3 linked regions of the Macaca mulatta genome follow. The protein of the gene in region 2 binds, or shares a complex with, the protein of the main gene of each other region. Links are inferred from orthologs where the notes say so. Each region holds a gene or a part of one and is shown on either strand. Other genes may lie near its edges.

Region 1 (3,646 bases), on a different chromosome or scaffold from region 2:
GCTTAGCAGTGTCGGATACAGGATAAATACAATTCACAGGGCCTCACAAAAGTGTCACTGAAAATAAACAACATAGAGTTATTTTCCTGAAACTTGGGTTTTGGTAGAAATGTACGAAAATAACTTTTCATTGTCCACAAAAACTTCCCCCTCTTGGCTTTGCCTGCCCTGAGCCTTCTTAGCCCCTGGAATTCTAATGGCTAGGTCAGCACAGCCTAGTGCCAATGCCAGCCAACACCAGCCACCGCGGACAGCTTCTCTTCACCCTGTTTCATGTGAAGGATGATTTTAGTATTGAGGTTACTCACTTTTCAACATTTTCACTTGCACAAACTTAAAGCTACAGTTGCACCCCTAAAAGGTGAATATCTACCCAATTCTTCTGTCCTTTTATCAGAAAAGAGGCAGAGAAGCTGAAAATGGGTAGCAATGCTTCCAGGGACAAGTTAAAGGAATGCACTGTAAGAAGATCCTGGAAGCCACAGAAGTTTAGCAAACACCTAAAATAGACCATAGACATTCATAGGAAATGTCATTCTAATACAGCCAGACATAATGAATGGCATAGCTTTCACCCAGTCCTAAAATTAGCAACTGTTATTCATACAAATCAGACTACAATCTGATTGCAGTTAACTCTACGTCAGACTGAAATAAAACCAAGAGTAGTGCTGCATGTAAAAACACAAAAGGAGAGAGTCTAACTCGGCCAGACCATTGAGACTCAGAGTGATACCATTAGTGGGCCACTGGGGAAGAAGAAAGACTGCAGAGAAACCAGGTAATAGTGCTTTGAACATTTTCCCCCACTTGACTCAGTTCCACAGTTCTTTAAGTTACTCTCTTGACTGATAGAATAAAATATATCCAGATTCTGAATTTTTTGATATATCTGATGTCAGGCCATAGAATTCTTCAATAGCTTGAGCATCTATTTTCTGCAATAAAGGAGAAAGAAAACAATACAATTATATAATATGATTCCTGGGGAAAGGAGATAAAAACTAATGGAATATATATTAAAATGCAAGGAGGACAATTTGTTATGAAATCATGATTAGGAACTTTCAATAGCAAATGGAGAATTCCACAGACTTGGCTGAAGGACATCATCACAGAAATTGTACATCTCTGGGAAAGTAGGCAACGCCTTCATGCATTAGCAACCCTGTGTGGGCACTCATTGAAGAACAAGACAAGACATCTCCCAGATGGTAAACTGATGGGTCCTGGAAATAGCCTTAAGTCTTTCCGGCCACCAGAGTTTAGTGTTATTCCACTTTTAGTGTTATTCCACTAAAACTGCTACCCTAGTGGGTTAAAATAGATCATGTCTTTGAGTGTAGAATTCATTCCAGCTAGTATTCTTTTATAACAAAGTCAATACATAGAATGTATTGGTGTAATATAAAGATTTCCAGATCCAACAGACTGAAAAAAATAAACAATAATCGATACAAGAAAAATTTGTTATAATAAAATAATTTTAATAGAACTTTGAAGTCTATTGTTTGCCCTGTATCAGAGGGGGCTTTAGTCATGATAGAAACAAGACTTATACTTAAGTATGATTTACGGTGGCACAGATAGAGAGACCCCGTGTCTATGGCTGAACCGTAGAGAACACTTGTCGGTAAGTCCGTGATCACACCCCTTCTCCCTTTCCATGGAGCATGGGGATTCGCAGAATTTGGTTTTGAATAGAAATTTAAGTTGTTTTCAAATTACATTATGGGGAAAGAGGCCTATTTTAGAAAACATCTATACGTATACGTTCCCTGAAATACTATTGATGCTCTATGACTACTGGAGAATAATCTGCAAACCAACCTCTACAATGTCATCATCAAATAAAAGCCAGAAGCCGTGACTTTTCACGATAGTGATATAATGCCCACGATTAGGACCACTGGAAAAGAACAATTAAAAGAAAGTCAGCAAGTTAACATTTATCTCTTTATAAAACTCTACTTAGCTCTTTATACGCAGTGATTCTCTGGGAAACAAACTATGTCATCAGCATAAAGAACTTGGAATACAGCTGATGTCTATGTTCACAACACTAAGCTGGACACGGGAATACAAAAGTGGACAGAAGAGATGTCTTCTGAGGACTCATAATCCAGCAGCAAAAACAGACACTCAAATTCAGTAAATATTAACAAAAAATTACTCTCTACCTATTCTGTGCCAGGCCCTATTCTATCTGTCAGGGGAAGAAGCAGTGAACAAAACAAAGACCTCACTTACTTAGGACTTGGGGTAGGGGCCAGATTGGCAATATACAAACTAAAGTTATAAATGTATGTCAAGCGGTGAGAAGTGTCACGGAGAAGGATGAAGCAGGGTAATGGGATATGAGTGATGGGAGGAGGTAATGTTTGATGGAAAGTGAAGGGAGGCCACTTTGATAATGTGAGCAGAAGGAAATTTCCCTGAAGGAAATGGCAGGGGTAGGGGTAGGGGTGGGGTTGGGGTCAGGGCATGGGGAGAAGCCATGTGACTCTGGGATGGAAGTTTCAGAAATAGGGAATAGCAAGTGCAAACACCTGGGGTGAGTGAGTAGCACTTGGTGTCTTCAGGAACAGCAGAGAGGCCAAAGGAGGCCAGAGCAGCAGAGTGAGCGAGGAGGGGAAGACCGGAGGGGGCTGAGGGGCAGGTGTAGGAATCGCAAGTAAGATTTTAGGCTTTGCTTCGAGCAAGCCAGGAAGAAATGGGAATTTTGAGGAGTTGCATGATCTGTGTTTTAGAAAGACATTAACAAACCAATAAGCATAGTAACAAGTGTTAAAAAGCCATATACTATGCTATACGGAAAAAAGCAGAAAGGACAACTAAGCAGCTGTCACTATGTAGTTAGGTTAGATTTGCACGAGTGAGGAGATTTTAATCCTAAACCTAAAACTGTTTTTTAACGCACTGTTAAAGTTGAAAAAGCCAAACTTTCCCCTTTGTTTACCCTCTTTCAACACAAGATGATGCCAATGATCTGTTCCTGCCCTTTCTCCAGCCTCCTCCAGCTACTGTCTCCCTTTCCCTCTGAGCTCCAGCCCATCGGGCTCCTCTCACACGCCACCCCCTTCACATTACGGGCCTTTGCATTGCTGTAAACTCTGCCAGAGATAATCCTCCCCCAACTGCATTCTTTTTAGCCCTCAGCTCAAATGTCACCTCCCCAGATAAATCTCTGCTGACCACCTCACCTGAAGAGGTATTTCCCATCACTCACTCATCTCCCTGTTTATTCCTGATAGCACTGATCAAAATCAAATTATCTTGCAATGGTTTGTTTTTGGAGGTAGCAGGGCAGTGTGTTTACTTGTTCATTATCAGTCTTTCCAGATAGATTATAAATTTTGTGAGGGCAGGGCCCCTGTGCTGTGTGTCTTTTCGTTACTCTATCTTCAGATCCTGGCATGGAACCCAGAAAATATGAGCTTAAAAAAAAACTTGCAGCAGAAATCAATGCATGAGGCTATGCACCTGTTGCAACTGTGGGCCTGCCTTCCTGGCATGGAAGGGAAGGCAGGCCCAGCTCCCTAACCTCAAAGCTTTCCAGTGCTACCTGGAAGCCACCCAATCCACATGCATAGGCCAACCCTGCTCCACACAGGAGAACAATGCTACTTCTGTGGGGAGGAGTTTG
Region 2 (3,646 bases):
TGGGGACAGCTTAATCTACACATGGAGACTGGTTTCTATATTACATCTCGATTAGTCACTTCAATTGAAAGATAATCTCGGTCCATACCAAATCGGCCATTAGAAGTCTTGCTCCCGTTGGGGCTCAGTGGGCTTCCTAGGACTACTCTTGGGGCCATAGAGGAAGGTCGTAAATGAATACCCAGAAGCATTAGCCCACCCTTCACGTGGACTTCTGACGGTAATGGAGGGTTAGGTCTCCACCGCTCTTCCATATGAAGTGTTTCACTGTTCGAAGGTCCATATTTGGATCCAAAACCTGAATAGCCAAAATTAAGTTTAAAAATTTCAAAGTCTCTAATATCTAAAACCTTTATCATTAACTCAGGGACTCCAGCTTGCTCACTCCTCCCCTATGCCTGATATCCAATTCTTGCTGTCACGGCTTCCATGCATGTGGGAATGAAATTGAGCTTAGTGAGATGTACATCTTTTGTGATTATACCAGAAACACCAGGCCATCTTTCAGCCATTCGTCTAAGGATATGTTTTGAGTGCATCTTGATTTAAAAAACCATTCTGCCATTTCTCCGCACACCTTCACTCTAAATCATAAACTAACATGGCACATGCTGCTTTGCAAATCAAGAAGACCATGTGTCTTTTTCTTGTCAGAAAAAAAAGCTACCAGCACATCCACATTTGTCTATGTATCCCTTCTCTGAAAATCTCCCCAGCAGTAAAGAGGAGCTTTAGGGTGGGCTTTAGGTGGGAGAGGCCCAGGGCTCCTTAGAGCCCCTCTAAAAGTAGAAGCCCCCCGCCCAAAGGCATGTAACTCTTGATAAGCACCAGCACTGGAAAAACTGGGGCTGCAGTCCTCAAGTCCACTTACCTGGTCCTGGCACAAAAGTTCAATTTTCTCCTCTGCCAACACAGCAATATCCTCTTCTTTTTCCTGTTCTCCTGGTTTTTCATTATTAGAAGAGCTAGTGGTTTGAGACTCATTATCCAAGTTGATAATTTTTTCATAAACATGTTCCATAACTTTTCGGACTTGGAGCATGTCACTAGCAGAGAGTCTGTCTCTGTAAAGAAGCAGTGGCATATTGTGACATCAGGGAAATCACTAGATATTATTTATTCCATATTATTTTTCTTTGATGCGAACATTTTATAAAGATGAAAAATCAATAAATGTTTTTAGTCATTACCTTAATCCATTTTTAGAGCTGCCGAAAGATTTTCTACAGTGTCCTTCTAAGACATAAGTTTATGTACAACTAAATGAGATTAATACATGTTCTTAAAACTTACATATACAGGCCAGGTGTGGTGGCTCATGCCTATAATCCCAGCACTTTGGGAGGCCAAGGCAGGTGAATCACTTCAGATCAGGAGTTCAAGACCAGCCTGGCTAACCAACATGGTGAAACCCTGTCTCTACTAAAATACAAAAAATTAGCTGGGCATGGTGGTGCACGCCTGTAATTCCAGCTACTCAGGAGGCAGAGGCTGCAGTGAGCCAAGATCATGCCACTGCACTCTAGCCTGGGCAACAGAGTGAGACTCCATCTCAGAAAAACAAACAAACAAACAAAAACACTTACATATATATACATAGTAGCCTTCTGGGTTTTATTCCCTTGAATACTTTCCCAGAGCCTGGGCAAACTAAATAATAATTCTGGAAAGGCAGGCAGCTCCCAATGCTTACCAGAGTCCTACACTGCTCAGTTTTCCCTGGGCTTTCCTCCCCACTGCCATGCCTTCAACTAGCACCTGTGGGTAGACAATGCCTGAGTCTAGACCTTGAGTCTCAAACTTCTGTCGTAAACCACAAACCCAACAGCTGGTTGGGTATCTTCAGTTGGATGTCCTACAGGCACTTCAAACTCTCTATGTCCCAAACTAGACTCACCAACACCCTACTTCTGTATCTCTGATAACAGTCAATAACTATTACACCAAAAAACTAAGGCTTACGCTCTGAAAACCATTTGAACTGCAGTTGTTAAATCTATCTAAGACTCACTTTAAAATAATTGTGTGTGTGTCTGTGCGGTGTGTGGAGGGAGGTGGGTGGGAGGGCAGGTAGAGGTACAGGTGAAGCAAAATGTTTAGCAAGGTATTGATAATTACTGAAGCTATCTGATTGGACAATGGGGAGCTCTTTCTATATAAGTTTGGAAATCTCTGTAACAAAGAGGCTTACAAATTTTTTTGATTTTATTTGCTAGAATATACATATTGTTCATAGTTTAGCATTCCATCACTACAGTACTAAAATTCTTCTCTTGGGTCTCCCTGGACCATATCCCACATTGGCTCAAAAGTTTCTGGTGTTTAGTCACTGCACGCTCTATGGCTTGGCATTCAAATCCAACATCAACAAAACCTTTAACAGCCTTTCCAATTTACTTCCTAATATCTTCCTGCTGTGCCTCCATCCCATGCTGCAGATGCATGGGTCCTCACACTACTTTCCACTATCTTATGCATGCTCCCACTTCCATATCCCTGATCACACTGTGTCCTGGACTTGGAATATCTATCTTTTGAAGTTCTACCAATCATTACATGTCCAACTCAAATTCCATGTCCTTCAAGAAGCCTTTCTGGGAAGCTCCAGCCACAAGCTCATTTCTTTCTCCCACTCTCATTATTCCTTAAGTATCCATAAAAGCAACTATTATATACAGGTTGGGTCCTAAACTGTGAATTAAGGCAACAGACAAAATGCATGTTTTATTTATCATTTTTTTCTTAGAGACAAGGTCTCTCTCTGCTGCCCAAGCTGGAGTGCAGTAGCATGATCTTAGCTCACTGCAGCCTCAAACTTCTGACGATCCTCCTGCCTTAGCTTCCTGGCTAGCTTGGACTACAAGTGTGTGCTACCATGCCCAGCTAATTTTTTTACTTGTATCTTTTGTAGTGAGGGGGGTCTCACTATGTTGCTCAGGCTGGTCTCAAACTCCTGGCCTCAATTAATCCTCCCACCTCACCCTCCCAAAGTGCTGGGATTATGGGTATCAGCCACTGTGCCTGGCCTTATTTATTTCTGAACACCTGTAGTCGGCCAAAGTTGGTACCTGGTAAGTGGTTTAATTGTATAAACTATGAATATTATAAAATCAGCCTTAGATCTGGTATATGCTTCCTTTGCTATAAAAGGAAGGAAAAGGAATTCTCTCAGTAGTTAATTAGATCAATAAAGCATATATTTACTTACTTTTTTAAGGTTTTTGCTCCTGAAGATGCATGAGGTTGGAGGTAGAAAGGAATTTTGTTGAATTTGGGCATATTTTTCTGAAACAGTAAAAGTTAAAAAAGGTATAATAGTTTCTATTAGTTGATAAATGAAAATAATGTTAATAGGAAAACATGACTTGCGAGTAATAATTATCTTACAATTAAAAGTGACTTTCTATGAAATGTATAGTGAGCTATCAAATTACCTAAGTCAGCCTTTGAGAAAATTCATCAGAAAAATATATGTGACATTAGTGGCAATATGAAATTGTAGCATGGCTCTTCTTAGATAACAGTACAAGGTATTAAAGAGAAACAAACTTTATTTTAATTTTTTAAGCCATACAAACCAAAATCTCAATTCTACATTAAAATATTGGGGCTGATACCTAAAGGCCCAAACAAAAACTTAAGTGTC
Region 3 (4,428 bases), on a different chromosome or scaffold from region 2:
CACATCAAATCTGTTTGCTGGAATAGAACAGCAAGGGGAAAGGACAGGATGACCACAGCTGTTTGTTTATCAGGATGGGCAGACAGACGGGCATGGGGACACTCGGACAAAGCCCAAGTGGGCCCTAGAGGTCTAAGATGTAGAAACCCTTGTCCAAACAGGGGTTAGAAAAGAGCAAGAAAGACTTCAGGTGGGTGATGCTTGCAAGTCTAGAGAGGGAAGCCCCTGGCTGGGGTATCAGGGCTCTCGGCTTCCATGGAGGCAGGCGCTTGGAGAACCAGGCCGGCTACCATGGGATTTAGCTATATTCAATCTGCATTCTCCCCCCAAGCAAGCTTATAATGGAATCACTATGGAAACAGTATTCATGTACCAGAAGTCTATTTTTCACTTAAATTTTGTTTGAATGCTTTGTTTTTGAGTGCTTTGAACCCGTGAGGTGAGGCACTTCTGATTTTACAGCTCTGCCTGAATTCAGATCCTCAATCCCACTGAATTAGGGGAACCCAGAAAAGTACCCCATCACGAGTTCACCCATCGAAGATGCCACAAGCTTTCTAACATAGTAATTTATGAAGTTATTCTACTCACTTGAGCTACTTTCTCAAATAGGAAAAAATAAAGCTGAGCTGCCAGGCATGAAGAACAGGGTGCAAATATGAATTTTAGAAAAGAAGAAAAGAGGAACTACCCATGCCAGTAGCCAGCACTGCCTAAGGATTTCTCACAGGGCATTCTTCTTGCTTGCGGGCTTCTTGTCTCTGGTAATATCATCATCACTGCTGGCTTGAGATCTTCCCTATTTTGCAGCTCAATGTGCAGATATTTAGAAGCCTGTTATAAATTTACGGCCAACAGGCCAGCAGGATTTGCTCCTCTCCTTCCCCCATTACTTATTTCTTCTTAATTCAAAGAGTTAAACGTGTAATTCGTTCTTTGCCTCTTCATTTTTATTTAATTATTTTGTCTTTTTCTAAGTTGTGTTTGACTCCGGTGATTCATCCAATATACGTAAAAAGAAACAAACCAAGTGCTTGGGTAACCCGGGTTATCTTAACTGTCAGAGCAGGTTTCCTCCCACTCCGCGTGTAGTTACCCAGATCATCGCCTCCGTTTTCTGTTTAGGCAGCGGGGGCTCGCCGTCCCCTCGCCCGCGGTGGGTGTCGCAGCTGGTCCCCTCGAGGTTCTCCCAGGTCGCCGCCGCCTCCCTCGCCCCCGCGCCTCCCCGCCGCGCCCCTTCCTACGCGGGGCCTCTAAGCGCCCGGCTCTAGGACCGCAGGGACGCGGGCAGGAGGCGGTGCCCGCCTTCGGTCCTGCCCTCTGCCGCGCGCGGGGTGGGGCCGGGCCGGAGTTCCCCGCCTCGCGCTCGCCGGCCGCGGAGGGGGCGCCGAGGGGTGGGCGGGGCTGCGCCGCCGGGCCGCGCTGCTGCCTGGCAGGCCGGGCATTAGGGCCTCGGCGGAGCCCGCTCCTCTGCGCGCTGGGCGGGGTGGGCGGCGGGCGGCTTCGCGGGCAGGCGCGGGCCCGGAGGCAGCGGCTGCGTCCTGCGCTGGGGCGGAGCCGGGGGCGGGCCGGCGGCCGGCAGGCGGGGGCTGGGGCCCGAGGCCGGGAGTGCCTGAGCGCCGGCGGCGACGACGGCAGCGGCGGCCCAGCGGGTTCGGTGCGTGGGTCCGCGGCGGCTCGGGGTCCGCCCGCGGGCTGCGGTGCGAGCGGGCGGCCCGGCTCTCCTCCTCCCCCGCCCGCCGCCGCCGCTGTGATTGGGTGGAAGATGGCGCTGGCCGGATGGAAATCCTAATGACAGTCTCCAAATTCGCCTCCATCTGTACCATGGTAGGTGCGGCGAGCGGGCGGCAGGGGCAGCCGGGACCTCTCGGACGGGCGGGCGGCGCTGGAGCCGCCTCTCCCGGTGGCTGCCCGCAGGGCCTAGCGCGGGGGCGGGCGGGCGGCCCGGGCGGGGGCGGTTGGACGGCGAGCAGGCGGGGAGCGCGGGGGTGAGCGGCCCAGGCGGCTGGGGAGGGGGCGCCGCCTGGTGGGCCAGGGCGGCGCGAGGGTGGCGGTGAGGGGGCGACTGTGCCGGACGTGGCGTGGGGCGGGCACCGGCCTCCGGGAGCCCCCGGCTGAACTGCTGGGGTGCGCTTGGGGCGCGGGGCCGAGAGCCGAGACGGGCTGGGCCTGTGGCGGGGCGAGGGGTGGGCGCGCGCGAGTCGGAGCGCGGCCCCGGGCCGGGGTCGCCGGCGAGGGGGCGCGGAGCCGCGCGGGCTGCATTTCCTCCTGGTCGCGCGCCGAGCGGGAGGGGTCCCCGGGCGGGGTGGGGGTCGGCGGGCAGGAAGGAAGGGTCTCGGCCGTGGCGGGCAGCGCTCTTTCCCGCCTGGGAGAGGACGGAAGTCAAGTGCAGATTTCCTCGCGCCGCTGGCTGGGCCGAGTCCCCGACCCCGCGCTGGGGGAAAGGGGCGTGTGTGAAGGTGGAAAGTTTAAATAAGTACTGTTGAAATTCTCTCCATTTTCTCCTCTGAGAGGCACATGCTCTCCCGTTTCCAGCCGTGTGTCCAGGTGGCAGTCTTGTCTCTGGGAATGCACGTTAATCTTGAAAAGCAGCATTAGCTTTCCTGTCATTTATTTACTTCAGCCCACCAGACACATCTGTATGTGGCTGGAGCTAGGTGTGTCTGTGCGGGGACCGCCTGCCAAGGCGACCGTATTTGTTTTCCCAGGGCGTTTAAATAGACTGTAAGGGAAAAGTGCTAATGCCCGCTGGAAGTCCCGAATTAAGCAAAACGTGGGCGCGTTTGAAACTTGGTGTTTTGTGCGTGGCCAGAAGGACCACAGTTTTCCACATGATGAGACAAATTCGTTTCATTAGCTCCTCATGAGCTTATATGTAGGGATCATAATTTATGAGTCATCACCGAAAAAAGTTGTTCTTTGCAACGTGGGCCTAGTGGTTGTTATTAAAGACTTCTGAAATCTTGTGCTTCATGTCTCACTGGTCCTATTTATGCAACTGATTTCATATAGGAGATCCCCAAGCAATTTTCCGTCCAAGGGTTGTACATTGTATATATTTTTCTTTAAGGAGTGGTGAATCAGATCTGAAAGATGCTTTAAAAGCAGATTCTCTCCTGCACGCTGAGGAACAGTACAAAAAATGGCTGAAATCAGGTGGACATAAAATCGACAGTATTAAAGAAATCATACTGAAGGATGAATCATTGAAGACTCCATTTCCCAACTGGATGATTGTTCTTTCTCACAGTTTACATTTTAGGAAAGCACTGGTATTAAATGGACTATGTTAAAATGATTTTCGAGGATTGTTTGGGCTAATTATTTTTAGATATGCCAATTATTAGTCAGTTTCAAAAGGAATGCGATAATTAGGTCTTTTACAGTGACAATTTTGCCAGATTGCTGAGCTACACACATTGTATGGGTCATAGTTCGTTGTCAAAGACTAGGATTTCAGGAGTGGTGTGATACTCTTGACCGACTATTCATTCACTCAAGTACTGTATATCAAGTATACATTTAGCAGCTACTAAGTGCTAGAGGCGGGGCTGAGTGCTGGGGATGCAGTATTGGTCAGGGCAGCCCCTGCTTTCATGGTGTTTACATTCTTGCTCATGGACACAAACAGTATTCAAGTAAACAATAAATGTATGCTGTAATCAGATTAGGACAGTGAGACACAGGGATTTGCCAGGGTCACACACTTAGTAAGTGGGATTCTGATCTCAAGGATGTCAAACTCAGAAGCTCTTTCTAGGGCTTCCACCCAGATACGTTAATTACATGTGGGGTGTGTGTGTATTGTTGGCAAATAGTGCCTGGCCAAATGAGATTGTTCCAAAGGTACTATTAAAATTCGGTGTGTCCGTATTCATATTTGAATACATTCGAATGCACCCCCAAACAGTGCTAAATATCTCAGTAGTTTGCAGTCTTATTCTTTAAAGAAAATTGCCATCTGTCCTCTAGAATCACAAAATTGAAAAGCAGAGATACCTCTTTGGCTTTGTAGGTGGTTTTGCTAGGCTTGGAACGCTCCTCCCCGCCACACCCCTTTTCCTTCTCGTCTGGAGAGTGTGTGTAGCTGTCTGTTAAGCAGGGAGCCTCCTTACTTCAATAATCCTACCCCTGTCCAACCCCACCCTCCATCCCCTTCCTACAGTTGAATGGCATTTTTGTAATCTCAGTAGCACCTTATGCTTACTGTGTAGTAAAATTTTCTTTGAACTCTTAATTATGAGGGCCTTGAAGGGGAAGGATTATCATTTACTTCTGCAGTTTGATCTGGAGTACCAAGTTCTGCATTCAGTATAAAAGTTTTCCAGAGTCCTTCCTGTCTGCTCCCGCTATGCCGGGTGAAGCAGGGATGATACGGCTGTGTGTGTATGGAATGTGGAGAGAAGATGGGCTGGACTTAAACAGAAT

The links.
Region 1: the proteins of WDR48 (region 2) and USP46 are in contact, whole or in part, in a crystal structure (PDB 6JLQ), measured with the Homo sapiens proteins. The link is inferred for Macaca mulatta from reciprocal best matches to the Homo sapiens genes WDR48 and USP46. Residues at the interface, in NP_065890.1 of Homo sapiens: Arg50, Trp77, Asp118, Tyr119, Lys121, Leu137, Arg139, Ser170, Tyr172, Thr188, Asp211, Asn212, Lys214, Ser230, Gly254, Trp256, Arg272, Ile364, Leu424, Lys425, Gly521; in NP_073743.2 of Homo sapiens: Arg181, Leu183, Asn184, Cys185, Glu186, Thr187, Cys222, Ser223, Glu224, Lys226, Cys232, Cys233, Ser234, Lys235, Gln236, Glu237, Gln239.
Region 3: the proteins of WDR48 (region 2) and USP12 are in contact, whole or in part, in a crystal structure (PDB 5K1C), measured with the Homo sapiens proteins. The link is inferred for Macaca mulatta from reciprocal best matches to the Homo sapiens genes WDR48 and USP12. Residues at the interface, in NP_065890.1 of Homo sapiens: Arg50, Trp77, Asp118, Tyr119, Lys121, Leu137, Ser170, Tyr172, Thr188, Asp211, Asn212, Lys214, Ser230, Gly254, Trp256, Arg272, Ile363, Ile364, Leu424, Lys425; in NP_872294.2 of Homo sapiens: Arg185, Leu187, Thr188, Cys189, Glu190, Thr191, Ser227, Lys230, Cys236, Arg237, Ser238, Lys239, Gln240, Glu241, His243.

The regions. Positions count from the first base shown.
Region 1 is NC_133410.1:80,912,504-80,916,149, reverse strand, and holds part of USP46 (ubiquitin carboxyl-terminal hydrolase 46), read right to left. Parts: intron 1,910-3,646; coding exon 1,831-1,909; intron 939-1,830; coding exon 837-938; 3' UTR 1-836. UniProt on the Homo sapiens protein: Deubiquitinating enzyme that plays a role in behavior, possibly by regulating GABA action. May act by mediating the deubiquitination of GAD1/GAD67.
Region 2 is NC_133407.1:101,394,055-101,397,700, reverse strand, and holds part of WDR48 (WD repeat-containing protein 48), read right to left. Parts: intron 3,286-3,646; coding exon 3,209-3,285; intron 1,065-3,208; coding exon 872-1,064; intron 299-871; coding exon 203-298; 3' UTR 1-202. UniProt on the Homo sapiens protein: Regulator of deubiquitinating complexes, which acts as a strong activator of USP1, USP12 and USP46. Enhances the USP1-mediated deubiquitination of FANCD2; USP1 being almost inactive by itself.
Region 3 is NC_133422.1:7,255,575-7,260,002, reverse strand, and holds the start of USP12 (ubiquitin carboxyl-terminal hydrolase 12), read left to right. Parts: upstream 1-1,607; 5' UTR 1,608-1,779; coding exon 1,780-1,827; intron 1,828-4,428. UniProt on the Homo sapiens protein: Deubiquitinating enzyme that plays various roles in the regulation of the immune response and inflammation.